Rhinolophus ferrumequinum: one gene and its partner. The protein of the gene in region 2 interacts with the protein of the main gene of each other region in a pairwise test. Links are inferred from orthologs where the notes say so. Each region holds a gene or a part of one and is shown on either strand. Other genes may lie near its edges.

The links.
Region 1: the proteins of PLD1 (region 2) and PEA15 interact in a two-hybrid assay, tested with the Homo sapiens proteins (2 studies listed by BioGRID). The link is inferred for Rhinolophus ferrumequinum from reciprocal best matches to the Homo sapiens genes PLD1 and PEA15.

What each region holds. Positions count from the first base shown.
Region 1 is NC_046305.1:28,328,005-28,335,348, forward strand, and holds the start of PEA15 (astrocytic phosphoprotein PEA-15), read right to left. Parts: upstream 3,012-7,344; 5' UTR 2,855-3,011; exon of another isoform or gene 2,847-2,854; intron 952-2,846; exon of another isoform or gene 863-951; intron 1-862. Other genes in the region: CASQ1 (calsequestrin-1), read right to left, coding at 7,287-7,344. UniProt on the Homo sapiens protein: Blocks Ras-mediated inhibition of integrin activation and modulates the ERK MAP kinase cascade. Inhibits RPS6KA3 activities by retaining it in the cytoplasm. Inhibits both TNFRSF6- and TNFRSF1A-mediated CASP8 activity and apoptosis.
Region 2 is NC_046285.1:70,808,502-70,815,371, forward strand, and holds the start of PLD1 (phospholipase D1), read left to right. Parts: upstream 1-3,869; 5' UTR 3,870-4,011; intron 4,012-6,870. UniProt on the Homo sapiens protein: Function as phospholipase selective for phosphatidylcholine. Implicated as a critical step in numerous cellular pathways, including signal transduction, membrane trafficking, and the regulation of mitosis.

The DNA.
Region 1 (7,344 bases), on a different chromosome or scaffold from region 2:
CAGGGCAGGAACCGGGAACCGGAGCTGAGGCTGCCAGGAAGTCAGCCCCTTTCCTCCCAGGTCATTCTGTTCTCTGCTCACAACTTCCTCACACTTTCCTTCCTTCCTCCCTCTCCTTCCAAGCCGGCCCCAGGTGGAGTCCCTGTCTAAGGTCCGACTAACTTAGGATGCTGAGGCAGAAGGGCTGAGGGTAAGGATCATTATATACAGACCTGTAGGGAAGGACTTGGGAGCTTGATAGGTAGATGATCCCTGGGCACTGGGGGAGGAAGGAGCAAGCCCTGGGGGCACTATGAGAAGCCTAGCAAAATGGGATAACCACCTGTGGAGAAGGTGGCAACACCAAAAGATTTCTGTGCATTTTGACATCAATTCATGATTATCCCCTCCCCCTAGCATTTGCTTCCAAATCCTCAATTTAAGAAGAAAGCTTGAGGATTAAGAGCTGCTGCCCCTCCCTCCATCCCTCCCTCACATCTGCTGCAGCTGTCTAAGGCTGAGGGGAGGGGCCTGGAGATCCCTGCAGTGGGCAGGAGGGGACCTCTAGGCATTCAAGTCTGTCAGTCTCTTGAGCGTGTGGGGGGGCGGGGCAGGTGGGGGAGTAATCAAGGAGAAGCAGAGGATTGGGAAGGGAGAGTGCAGGGTTCTATTTTAAATTTTATCTGGGCCTCAAATTCAAGCAGTCCTGTAGTTCATCCGTTAATTATTCCATTAATCCATTAATACTATTCTCAACTGACTTCTTCCCTTAGCTTCTATTCAGCATTTTTTTTTTGGGGGGGGGGAATGGTCTTTATTCCTGTAACAAAGAACAGGGCTCTAACACTTAAGAGTCAGCCTGGAGTGAGGGGAGGCGGGATACCTGGGTCTCAGGACCTTTCCAGTTCAGTCCAAGAAGCAAAATGGGTCACCTCTCTGCACAGGGACAGTGCAAAGCCTTTAGCCCTTAATCTAAGAGAAGAAAGACCAGATGGAGATGAGGGCATTAGGAGATACCCACTGGACCAAGAAGGCAGAGGGCCACCTGATGGGAGGAGAAGGTGGGGCCTGTGATGCTCTCCCCTCATCTGGTTGTCTCTCTCCCCACTCCTATTTCTGTTCTGTTTCTTCCTCATACATTCCCTCTCTCCCTGGTCTCTCAGTCTCTCTCCTTTCCTTTCAATGAGGTTTCATCCTATCCCACTTCGTGGTAAACATGGCTACTCAGGACTCCTGGGTTGTGACTCAGTGTCCCCATCTGAATACTCAGAGCTACCATTCTATTAGGAAGGAGTGAGCTACCCTGCTGTAGAGAGATAGGGTAAGTCTGGTGGGGAAGTGCCTAGTTTGGTTGGCTGTACACAGGTTGGTGATGTCCCCCACTGTACTGTGCATGAGGATCTGTATGAGAGAGTGAGGGGATGGCATGGCAGGGTGTGATTCTGTGGCTCTCTTCTTCATGCCTGATAATCAATACATGCACACATTATGGGCACAGGTGTCAGGGAAGTGAGGAAGTAGGCAACCAGGGCAGTCAGCAGCCTAAGGCATCTCTGGCAATTTCCCTAATACAGTGTTGAACCACAAAGGGAAGAGCAATTAAAGCTAGTCACTCTGACAGCCTAGGGGCCAGACACTGTAGTAGAGAAAACACACTGATTCAGCATGTTTTCCCTAACTCCCTGTGGTCTCACCACCATCCTGCTTTCGCCCTCTAATTTTCTGACCCTTTGTATAGTCCATTCCCCAACACTCTTCCCAGTCTTCGGACCATCTCTTTCTGTCACTTCCTCCCTTTCCCTGTTCCTGACTGTATCTCTGTCCCTCTCACCTTCCCCTCATTCTCTCTCTGACTTGGGCTCCATCCTTGGCTGACTCATACTTATTCTTTCTTTTTCTCCTTCTCCCTTGCTTCCACCCCCTCCTCCACTCTGATGCCAGAAACCAACCACTCCCAGCACCCTATAAGCTCTAACGACCCAGCAAGAGTGGCCACCAGCAGCTCCTACCCTCCCTACTCACCCAGTTTCAGAGCACCAGGCTCACTCACCCTCAACATCCTGTCTCGCTCTCCTGGAGTGACACCAGGATTTTCTCTGTTTTTCCCACTGTTTTAAAGAGATGCAACCTGAAGCCCAAGGCTGGGAAAAGATGCCCAGAAAATTAGGGTGGACTTGGGGACAGTGGCCCCCACTCAGCTGTCCAGTTAGACTAATGTTCTTCCAGGTGATATGCAAGTGGGATGAGGTGGGGGTTGGATGTGTAGTGCAGGGACGTTTGTAATCTGCTTGTGTGCCAGACGATGTGTGTAGGAGTCACATGGGTGTGTGTCACCGTGTGTGCTGGCTTGTCTCTTGTAGGTGTGTGTCCCTGTCAGTTTTGACACGGATTATATGAAATTAATTAGGGGTTTTACATTAGCTACTTCATTCCTCTACACCCCAGCTCCTTCCTTCCCTAGGGACACACTGTCACCAATCCCACCTCTTCCCCAGGTGCAGAGGGCGGGGTGGGGGCGTACAGGCTGCCGGGGGACTGAGACGGGCTGGGCCGGGAGGGAGGCCACCCCCGAGGTTGAGTCCGCAGCCAGAGGAGGGGAGGGGGGCGGCAGCTGGCCGCCGAACAGGCTGGGCGGGAAGCAGGCCCGTACGGGATCTCAAACCGCCTGCCAGCGGGGACTGGGAGGCCAGAGCCCCGCTGCCTCTGGCACATGCTCGAGGCGCCCCTCCGGGGACTGAGCCCAGGGACCTGACCCCGCGCACCCGACCGGGGCCTCACACCCCACGCCTGTCCGGGCGTCCCGATCCACGCCCCTCCGAGCCCAGACCCCAAATCTTCCCCCTCCCCAAGCCACGTCCCCTCCACACCCTCTCACCGCCTCCGGGCTGAGTGCGCAGGGTGCGGGCACTCTGGCGTCCCTGTTTCCTGAGCAGCGTCCGGAGCCTCCTCCTCGGCTCCAGCCGCCGCGCAGCTTCCGCCCGCGAAGCCGGAGCCAGAGCCCAGCTCCGCCTCGCCCCACCCGGCTGGCCGTGACGTCAGAGCCGGGGAGGGGCGGGGGATGGTGGGGCGGGGTTAGGAGAAACCAAAGGGTTGGGGTTCTGGAAGACTCCTGCGAGGGGGACGCTGCCTCGTCCCCTAAACCTCGAAACCCAATTATCAGATTTAATTCTTTCCCAATGGGACACCCTCCTCCCATGATGACCTTTCGATGACTACAATGGCTGGAATCCTGGGAGGCACAGAGCAAGTTTGGATTTAGGGGTTTGGAAGGCCTTTGGTCTCTGGGTCCTCTTAGCTGCCTGACTTGGTATTTTGAAAAACCTCTTGAAAATTAATCTGGGGAACGTAATTTGGTGGTTACCAGAGCATAAGGGGGTTGGGGGGGGATGAGGGTGAGGGGGATCAAATGTATGGTGATGGAAGGGGAGCTGACTCTGGGTGGTGAACACACAGTGTGACTTATGGATGATGTGATACAGAATTGCACACCTGAAATCTATGTAATTATACTAACAATTGTCACCCCAATAAATTAAAAATAAATTAAAAAAAAAAAAAGAAAAGAAAAGAAAAACCTCTTTTCTCCCCTTTATGTGTCAGGGGTAATGACTGCTCAGACTACCCACGTTGGACGGTGGGGCTGGAGGTAGGGGTGGGGGCCAGAAGCAACATTAGAGCAGCCTTCGCTGGACGTGGAGCCCCAGATTTCCCTCTAGAATGAAGCCAATGGGCCCCCTTGTGTTCCTCTCACCTTCCCCAAATATACTACCCTACCGCCTTCCCTCCACCATGATGTCATTTTATTTTCTGGGGAGAAAAAGAGCAGCGATGAGCTCAGCATGCAAATATAGATAACTTGCAAAGCCACACTTAGCTCTGTCTCCTAGCTCTGCCCCTCTGCCCTGGCCTGGGATGGCTGCTCTCATTTCCCTTCCACCCCAGGGACTTTCCTCCCCCAGATTCTCAGCCAGACTGAAAGAAGGAAGAAGTGGGGAAGCATGTGTTTTCACCCCCTTCTCCAGCCTAAGGGGTCTTGCCTCAACTCCTGCAGAGTCTGGCTCTGGGAAGAGGTCTGAGCCCCATCAGTGTCTGGGCCACCTCCAAGGACTCCCCTGGCCTCCCCTCCGTTCTGTCTTGGTAGAGACTCCTCAGGAAAATACAGGTGAGCCCTCCTTTCTAGAATCCACACTGCTCCTAGAAAGAGTCCCACACTTCTGCTGCTTTGGGTTTCACAGCCTCTGTGCTCTTTACCCTGTCCCCCAGTGTCCCCTGTCACACCCTCATAATTTGCCTTTGTATGTATCTCATCTTTTCTATGTGGTGGGGCCAAAACTATTTCATTGACCCATCTTTGAGACTGAAACTAAATGATTTATCTGCACCAGTGGAAGGTCCAGGTCTTCTAGAATTAACCAAGTACAGGGGACATGGACTTCATGCTGCTTCTACTCCTTTCTCAGACAGGTTATGCCTCTGAGCCTCAGTGTCCTCGCTGGTAAGATAGACACCAGTGTCTATCTTACAGGGGTCTTCTGAGATTCAGAAATTGTCAGTGTCCAATGACTGGTACAAATGGGGGCTTAAAACATGGGAGCTATCGTTTAGTCTGGGTCTTCCACTGACCTATGCCAGACAGTAATCTCCATGGTATTATTGTATTGGCCTAGTGCCCATACTATGTTGTTGTCACGCCGCTTCCTGCCCGTCTGTCCCCTCGTGCCTACCCCTAAAAAGAAAGAAGAGTCTGTGAGACTATTCCTTTCAGGAACATTGCTTCACCTTTATGCCATCTCCTTGTTTGGCCCCAAAGGATGGCTGCCTAGCCAAGGACGGGCAAGATTCCTCAAGAAAGGAACAACCTAAGACAGGCACAGTTGTGTGGGGACCACCAGGAGAATTCATGGGGTTGACAGAGGTGGGCATAGCCACCACCTTCCCCTGTCTAAGGAGAGCTTCCGCCTCTGTGGCTGTATTCCTTCCCACAACCTGCTTGGGAAGTGATTCTAGATGTGATAACATCAGTTCTCCATCTTAGTAAGTTTTCAACGTAAAGGTTTTGACCCTGGGGAGGTACAAACAATAATTACTTATATATCACGGGACTTTCGACAGGCAAGGGTGATTGGTTTGAACCAGTTTTCTGGTATTGTGTATGAGACTCACAGACTGTAGTAAAAACAATGCTACTTCCTTGTATGTGCATCAGTAAAAGCCACAAGGTGGCCCGATTTGGGGCTGTCAGTCCTTTGAGGCTGTGAGACCCTTGGCCCCTGTTTCAAAACTTTCTTGATTTCTGTTTCTTTCTTAACCGTTCGCCTCCCCTTCTCGTTCTCTCACTGCCCATGTTGCGCTGGACACGACACTATGTATTAAACAGTTATTAAATGGGTATAAGTTGGATGAATACGTGGTTTCTACTCTACACTCCTGCCACTTCTCCAGGAATCCTTGGTTTGTCTGTGGAGGGTGCAAACTTCTCTAATCTCAGGTCTCATTCTTCCATACTCGGAAATCTGCTAAGTTTCCCAGCAACACCCTTATACCTGATCCATGAAAACTGTCTGTTAGTTATGGGCCTGTTCAATTGTTTGGTTCCCCCACCCCCACTCCTGACGCCTTTACACATACCCCAGTCTGGGTCCTGCTGAAGAGAATTTGGATCCTTCCTGCCAGGAACTCTAGCAGGCCCAGATCTGGGGGATCCCCAGCATACAAAACTTAACGCCTCCTCTCCATTTCCATGACCACCACTTGCGTTCATGTTCTCCCAACTTCATCCCAATTATTTTAATGGTCTCCCATTGAAAGAGTTGGGCTCCCTGCCCCCGGTATCTCTTTCATCTCCCCTCCCTAGATCTATCCTGCTAGTCATGCCAGATTAAAATTTTCCCTTCTTCCTCACCTCACAGGATTAAATTCAAATACCTCTATAGCCTAGGCCCATCCTGCCCACTCCCTGTCATGACCAGTACTTGAGCTCCTCTTCTGGTCTCTCTCCTCTGTGCCCCCAATACGACAGACACATTCTTCTGGTGCTTTTGATGTTTCCACTGCCTGAAATGTCCACTCCCCAACTCCTTTGCCCTTAATCAAATCCCCCTCCTATTTAAGGCCTAGAAAAATATTCACTTCCTTTATGAAGCCATCAAAAGCCCACTCTGATCTCTTCTGAGCTCATTCTGTTCATTTGTTCCTTCTTTTAATCAACATTTATTAGGGACTATTTTTTGTGTGCCAGGCCCTGTGGACACAGAGAAAAGGCCTGGGAGCAGTCTAGTAGGAAAGACAGACATGTAAATGAGAGTTAGAATAGAATGTGCTGAGTACTAGAATAGAGGTGTAAAGAAAGCGTGCAGTGTGAACCCAGAGGAGGGAGCTGCAGAAGGGGCCACCTCTGGAAAGGCCTCACCAAGGAAATGTTCTTTAGGATCTGTCTTGACTGTTCCAATAAGAGCTACAGGGAAGGTGCCATCAAGCAGCACATAATCACTTAATTACATATTGCTTTGTATTTTTCTTTAATTGTTTATTATGCTTGTTTTGACTTCCCAGTGAGACTAATCAGCTCGAGAGCAGGGACAGGCCTGGCACTCTCTGTTCTCCCAGAGTGTAATGGTGGTGCTGGACAAACACCATGTGTTCCGAAATGGCTTATTGACTTGCATCAGATAAATAATCTAAGCTTCTCTGAGATAACTGCCTGGAGGGAGCCCCAACCCCCTCCTATCGAAGCCCCTAACAAGACACTCACACCTAACGCCCCCCCTCTGGCTGCTGCCCTCCTGCCATAGAGGTGAAACCTCACTGGCAGACACTTGCTCAGCTGCCCCAGATCCTTTATTGAGGCCTCTTGTTTGACCCAAATATATTAACGAGATTGTTGAGATACAGCCCCAAACACAGTCAGGGAGAGGACTGTCAGAAGGATATAGGATTTGAGAGAGTTGGGGGAAGAGTATGCACAGGTGGAGGGAACAGAGGGAAGAGAGATGGGGGCCCAGAGATATGGCAAGAGTAAAATCACAAGAGTTTAGGGAGTAACGGGAGAAACAAATAATAGATCCAGAGACATTGTGGGACAAGAAACAGAAGTTAGATGAGATAGTTGGGCCGTTGTGTGGGGAAAAGTTGCTCCTTTTCTCATCAGGTGAAGGGAACCAGGGTCTCAGTACTCAGCATATAGATCCTCAATGGGCTCTATAGCAAAGAATGACCTAATGTCTCTGGAAGAGCTCAGGGAAAGGACAGGGAAGGCAGGAAGGAACATGAGAAGAACAGGTGGGGCAGGGAGATAGTTGCCATAGCAACTAGTCATCATCATCGTCATCATCATCATCCTCGTCGTCATCCTCTGTGTTGATCTCG
Region 2 (6,870 bases):
TCTTGCCCTGTATTCTGTTTTCAGAGTAGCATGGGTGCCATGGTTAGTTAATTAATATTAATAATGAAATGTTTCTGAACAAATAAATGAAGTGAATGGTTGCTAATCAGGGGACTGTCCAGTGGACAGAATGACACAGAAGTCCCACAGGTTACATCAGTGAGGATTACTGGGGGCTAGCAATGGATGCAGGCTCCTGTTATCTAGATGGCCCCAAGGGGCCACAGACTCAGGGCAAGGCTGGGAGACAAGGCTGGGCACGGCAGATACCTAACACGCACCAGAAGTTAAAAAACAAACAAAGCAGGAAGTGGGAAACTGTCTCTGACTGGGTCCCACTGGTCAGGGCAAAGCTACTGCTGGGGCTGCTACTGCCTCTGCTCAGGGACCCCACCACCAAACGCCGCCGAATCCCTCATTCCTTGAGAACCAGTGCATCTAGCCCCTGAGGTAAATGGAGTGGTAGTGGGAACGCATAGGAAGGAGCTGCCCTTTGCCTTGGAGATCGCTACCCAAAATTGCTCTCTTGCCAAGATTATTCATATTTGGGGAGAGGCAATTCTCTATAAGAGAATGGAACTACCCCCCCCCCAAAAAAAAAAAGATGGATCCTGAGCATCTCCAAATGGCCTAGCTGATTTGGACAGCAGTGTACACATAAAAAATATCATGAGGGAAAATTTGGGGGAGCACATTGGTATGCAAATTTTATAGAGTATTCTAAAAGTAATAAGTATATTATTTTTATTATATTTTACAGATTATTCCATGATTATTCCATGTAATATGTATATGTACACATAAATAATATGGTTCCATTAAAAGCATTAATACAAATTAACAAGAGCAATAATATCACATAGGAAAAAAACATGCAATGGATATGAATAGATCATTCCAGTAAATGGTACAAATAATCAATAAACATGAAAAAATAATGTTCATCATTATTGATTATTGAGGAAATGCTGATTAAAACAAGATATGATTTTGATCCGGCCCATTTTCAAATTACAAGCAAGATAACACAACATTGGAAAGTATTTTGCAGAGTTATAGAGTTTCAAAAATATTTATAGATGTTGATCCAAGTAGTTGCACTTTTAGAACTCTATCCTAAGAATTTAGGATCTCAACAAAGATTGACATCCATGGTGATATCGTGCATGATTTATAAACCACCCAAAAGTCTGGAAACATCCTAAAAGCCATCAGTAGATGAATAGATAAATAAATGATTGGAATATTCTTCACCCATTAAAACATATATTTAAAAAAATTTAGTGGAAGTAAACAATACTCAGTTTATAAATATTCAGTGAGATAAGACGGATTCTAGATTGTTTGTACAGCATGATAATTTTGTAACAAACCTTTATTGTTGTATAGAAAACAAACAAAAAGAAGATATAACAAAACATTAACAATGAGTTGTGTGTGTGTGTGAAGATTAATTTTAATTTAGAAAAATTTGTTTTCTGTGGTCTCTGAAACTTTGTATTTTTGTAAAATACAAATGTAAAAATTACAAAAATGAGCATATATTACTTTTATACTGAGAAGAAAAGATAAAAATTAAAGGGAATTTAGAATACCACTTGTCTGATAAAAATGTTGGATGTGTATCCAGATGGTTATATAACAGGCGTTCTTAATCATTATTTCTTGACCTCGTGGACAAAAAAGGGGGCTCTGTAATAAAACTGACAAGTCCAGTGATGGAAAGTAACCTCCTCACAGGGTGATCTGATTATAAATTCCTAACTGGGCAGGTCATGGTGGGTAGTCAGGCCCCAGGCATATAACTTCTGTAGTGAAAGGATTCTCTTTGCCTTAAGCAAGCGCTGTCCATTGTTTCTATGCATCCCAGTTAACATACCTTTGAAAGGCCTCTTTTCAGACCCCTCAAGAGAAACCACCTCAAGAGAAACTACCCTCGAGAGAGCACACAATCTTGTGAACTATCCTGTAATACAATGCCCGCCTTGCTTTCTCCCACTTTCATGTAATCTTCCTTAAATTCCCTCCTTAATTCTAAATGCATAAAAGCATTAATTCTAAATGCATAAAATTCTAAATGCATAAAAACTGCCATTCTGGAAGTATTTTCTCATTCTGTCGCGATCTTGCTTGCAGGCCTATCCTCTGTGTGGCTCAAATAAATTTTTATCAAAATTCTCTACAGGTTTGGACATGGAAAACATCTCTGAAAATATGCAAGATGTGGAAAAATTACAACCACCAACAATCAGCAAATCTCTCAACGAAATAGAAATAACTACATGCAGAATCCTCGTGCATCTAAAATTTATTTATGGCAGTCCACAGCTTAAGGTTATCTCTAGACAATGGACGGCCGTTTTCTATTTTACTCCTCTAGCTCAAGAAAGGAGAAATTGAGTTATTGTGAGGGCACTTAAATAATTACATTTTTAATTAAAATTAATAAAAAGGCCTATTATTGTAGGTAGTGCCAAATGTCTTAATGATGACACTTAGAAATTTGGGATGCAAGTTTATAGCCCGCTGTTTCTCAATCAAAAGCACTATAACTTCTGAAAACAAGCTTGTAAGAGTGCTGTTACTGGTGTGTATAGTACTTACCAAATCATCTGTGATTAATAAAACTTGAGAAAGAAGGGGAGGAAAGGGTATTCAGCCTTTCAGTAACACGCTTGTCTTATACTTGCCAAACTCTTCTTAGGCAATACTCTCTATGCTCAGAGGGCCATGTGTTTAATTGCAAAAATCTGTCAGTATCATAGGATTCAAAAGACATCAATCATGTCTGTCAACAAGGAAAGAGTGACGGCTGTGTGATTCTTCTATCATTAGGAAAAGATGTGCTCAACAGAGAAAAATGTAGTCCAGGGAGGGCTGAACAACTATAGGTTATAGGAAAACAGAGTTCCAGACTATAAGGTCACCCCCCCACACACAGTTTGGACTGGAATATAGTATTTTTCATTTCATGCAGTTCCATGTGTGCAGTAAGACATTATGTAACTCGGGCCGTCTTGGCTGTGCAATATCCACTAAGTGCTTTAAAGTGGCCATCGTTATTAACAGTTTGGTGTATGTGGACACGATTGCTTCCTTTGGCTTTGGCAGAATGCAATATTGTGTAATGAGGCTGGAGCTGGCCTATATTCAAAAGCATATTCCAAAAGGGCTGCTAGTCAGGCCACATGACAGTTGGTTCTCTTTTTCTTAAGACTTCATTCTAAGTGGACTAAAAATATCAAAATTGCTGTATTTGGACATTTCCATGGGTGCAAGGGGAATTTTCCATGTTTGACTCCTGATTTATTATTTTATGCTAAGATTTCTGAATTACACCTTGCTTGAGCTTTAAAGACACCAAGACAGAAATGCAGTCTCCTGTAGTTTAAATTACTTCACTTTTCTGAACCTCAATTTCCTTATCTGTAAATTAGCGATAACACCTACTTTAGGAAGTAGGAAGTTGAAAGAAGGCTTATAAGTGATGTCAACAAAGCTCCTACTTCGTAATTGTATACCACAGGCAAGTTATTTCACCTTTGTGATCAGCTGTTTCCCCACTTGTAAAACGGGCCTATCGCTGGTGGCTACCAGCTGCAATAGATGAGAATGAGATAATATAGACAAAGCTCCCAGAACAGTGCCTGGGCACTTGGTGGCTCAAGAGTACCTGACAATAACTAACGCTAGTGACATTCCCTAGGTTGATGCGGCTGATTTGTGAAACTTTGGGATACAAGAAAGAAACCAGGACCAGGAGAGAGGCCCGGCGGCCGGAGCCCTTCAGTCCCGAGGGGACAACAGCCTGCGCCGCTAGGCACCCGAACTGAAAACCACCTCGCCCCACCCCTGTCCGGGCGAATCCGGACGGCGAGTTCCGGGCGGCGGAGCAGCGCTGTCGCAGCTCAGGCCCTCCCTCCTCCGGCGACTCCAGCTGTGCCAGCTGCGCCTGAACCCCGAGAATCCGCCGCCACCGTGCAAGTGCCCGCGGCCGCACTGGCCCTTCAGGTAGGAGCTGCGCTGTGGCCGGGGTGCACAGGGCTCCCGTGGGAGCCCGGTTTCCGCTTCCTTCACCCTCCGTCCTTTCTCCCTCCAACCTTGGGCAGCTGGCCTCTCCCCGCCCAACTTGGACGGGACCTTGGCAGCCGCAGCAGCAGCGGGCGCCAGCGCCGTGCGGCCTCGCGGGACCAGCCCCTCTGGCTTCCATCGGAGGGCTCCAGTGCGCGCCTTCCGGTCCATTTCTTGCAGAGTGGACGCCAACAACTTCGGCGCGCACGTTTGCCGGGACAGGCTGCGGGCCGGAGCGCAGAGCCACTTTGGCTCCAGGCCGACGTTGGAGGCACCCGCCCAGCCCGCGGCGGGGCCCCAGTGTAGTGTGTCTGGCGCTCCCCGGTTATCTCGAGCGCCCGGAGTCCGCGCGCTGTGGGATGACCTGGATGGCGGGCGCTCTGGGAAGTGCTGCGTTGCGAGGCGCAGAGCCCAGCCTGCCAGATACACGGTCCTGGGCATGTGGCCACACAGCTGCTCGCTGTGGCGCCAAGGAGAGCTGACGTCGAGTTGGGGCAAGGGACACGGGGGCCTGGAGTGGGGGGTGTGTCAAGGGGCTTGTTTTTCTCCAGCCAACTCAAAGTTATTTGGTACCCAGATCTCAGATCCAGGAGCGCAGTGCCCCAAGTCTTGGATAGGATTTTGTGACGTCCTTCTGAACTGCCCTTGTAGAATCAGTTCAGAGCTACCGCCACGCCTATGTTTGCGCCTTCTCCTAATCTTGGATTATTGCCTTTACCTCCTCTGTGAAGTACTAAATGCAAGTGCATTCTTAAGATCCACCAAGGTTTCTGCGTTTGATCATCCTTATCTTTCCCCAGAATTGAGAGTTCCGTTAAGTTTATCTGCCAGGCCTGCCAGTGTCAGTTTAGATAACGTTTGTGGGCCTTCCAAGGGCTTGTGGGAATCTAGGTCCCCAGAGACCTCTGCGCTGTGTGAAATGGGCTAATTAATGGTGGTGCAGTGAAAGCCTTAAGAAGGGAAAGAGCCTACAGCGTGAGCTGTTAACAGTCACCACATTTACACAATGCCCATCTGAATAAGGATCTCTTTCAGTAGGAGATGTTTTCTAACATACATACATACAAGTGAATTTGTACACAGGCTTTTAGCTTGAATTTGTATGCAGCCTTTAAATGTTTGAGGACCTTCTAACTAATTGTTTGAGCTCCCAGTCTGTCTTCTTAAGATCCAGTACAATTCACAATCCATATAAAAAATGTAGTAGTGAAGGCTTTGAGGAAGATGTACCTTTACCGTGTTGGTCCCTGATGTCGGAATATTTATGAACTACCGTGATAAGTGCTGTATAATGCTCATTTAGGTTGGTTGGGGGACCTTGGTCCTTGGAAATTGTCAGAGTACTAATTGTGTTACTTAATAAAAAATTCTTTGTTATAAAATCCATTTACCTTTAATTCTCAGGGTTTTTTAAAAAGTTTTTATTTCTATTGTGGTAAAATGCACATAACATAAAATTTGCCATTTGACCATTTTTAAGCATACAGTCAGCGGCATTCACATTGTCATGCTGCCATCACCACCGTTCTTCCACCATCCTTCCACCACCATCCTTCTTTTCATCTCGTTGGATTTTAATAACATTTTAATGATAATGATTGTGTTGCAGGCTTTAGTTTTCTTCCTAAGCAAGTCTGAGTTCTCCTGTCATTGCTTTAGAGAAATGTACTTTTGAAGAGAAGAGGTGAAAAGCTATAACCAAATTGTGTTTAGTCATCTTATCTCTATCAGGAAAGTTCTAACACATCACTACTTTAGGATAAGCGTGTGAGCTATTTAAATTTTCACATAAAGGTATTGTGAGGTTTAGCTATCAAGAGGGTGACACAGGTAAGGGAGTTATTATTGATAGTTTCCTCCCCTGCCTAGCAGAAAAATAGAATACTTTTGTCCCCTTTTGTAGTGCAATAGCAACTGTCTAAATTATGCTTAAACTCAGGTTGTGGCACATATTTAGAAACTAAAAGCAGTTTTGGTCCAGCTAGGTGGTGGGTGTAGTAGCAATTTCTTCTTCACTCAGGTGTTTACTAAAGATTTATGCCAGGAGACTCAGCACATAAGTTATGGCTCTTTAAATTCACAGTTAGTCTGAGTCATTGTTTTCACATAAGTTATGGCTCTTTAAATTCACAGTTAGTCTGAGTCATTGTTTTCACAAAAGAAATGTCGCTGTGCTAGGCCTGGTTTTATGTTTACTATCCTGTAAGTCTTAGCACCACAAAATAAAATGTATTCTCCTGCTGAATATATATAGTTAAATGTTGTTGCAGGGTTAAAATGAGAAATTTGTAACCTAAATTTCCCATACGCCTGTGACATTTCTGATTAGAAATGGAATCATACAAATTGTATCTTCTGTTGCAGTGAGAACGCATTCCGATGTGTTAGTGTCCCTGAATTCACGGTGCAGTGTAAAGTCTGGATCCCAGATGTTTTAGTGCTGGGTTATTAAACAATTGTGTATGTTATGTAAGTGTTTCTTACTGTCACAGTTCTTTTTTTGTCCCTTCTGTTGTGAACGTTCCTTAATTTTTGAATTTATTGAACAAATATTTCAGTGACAGAATAAAATGATTTGTTTATTTAATCAACACTCATATGGTGCTTCCTGTGTGCCAGACACTATTCTAAACGTTAATCCTCAAAAGAGCTCTGTGAAGTAGGTAATAGTATCAGCCCCATTTTAGAGATGAGGCAATTGGAGGCACAGTGAGAACATAATAACTAGCACATGGCAGAGCTGGGGTTCCACGCCAGGCAGCCTGAACCCAGAGTTTTGGCACTGTTATCTCACTAGAA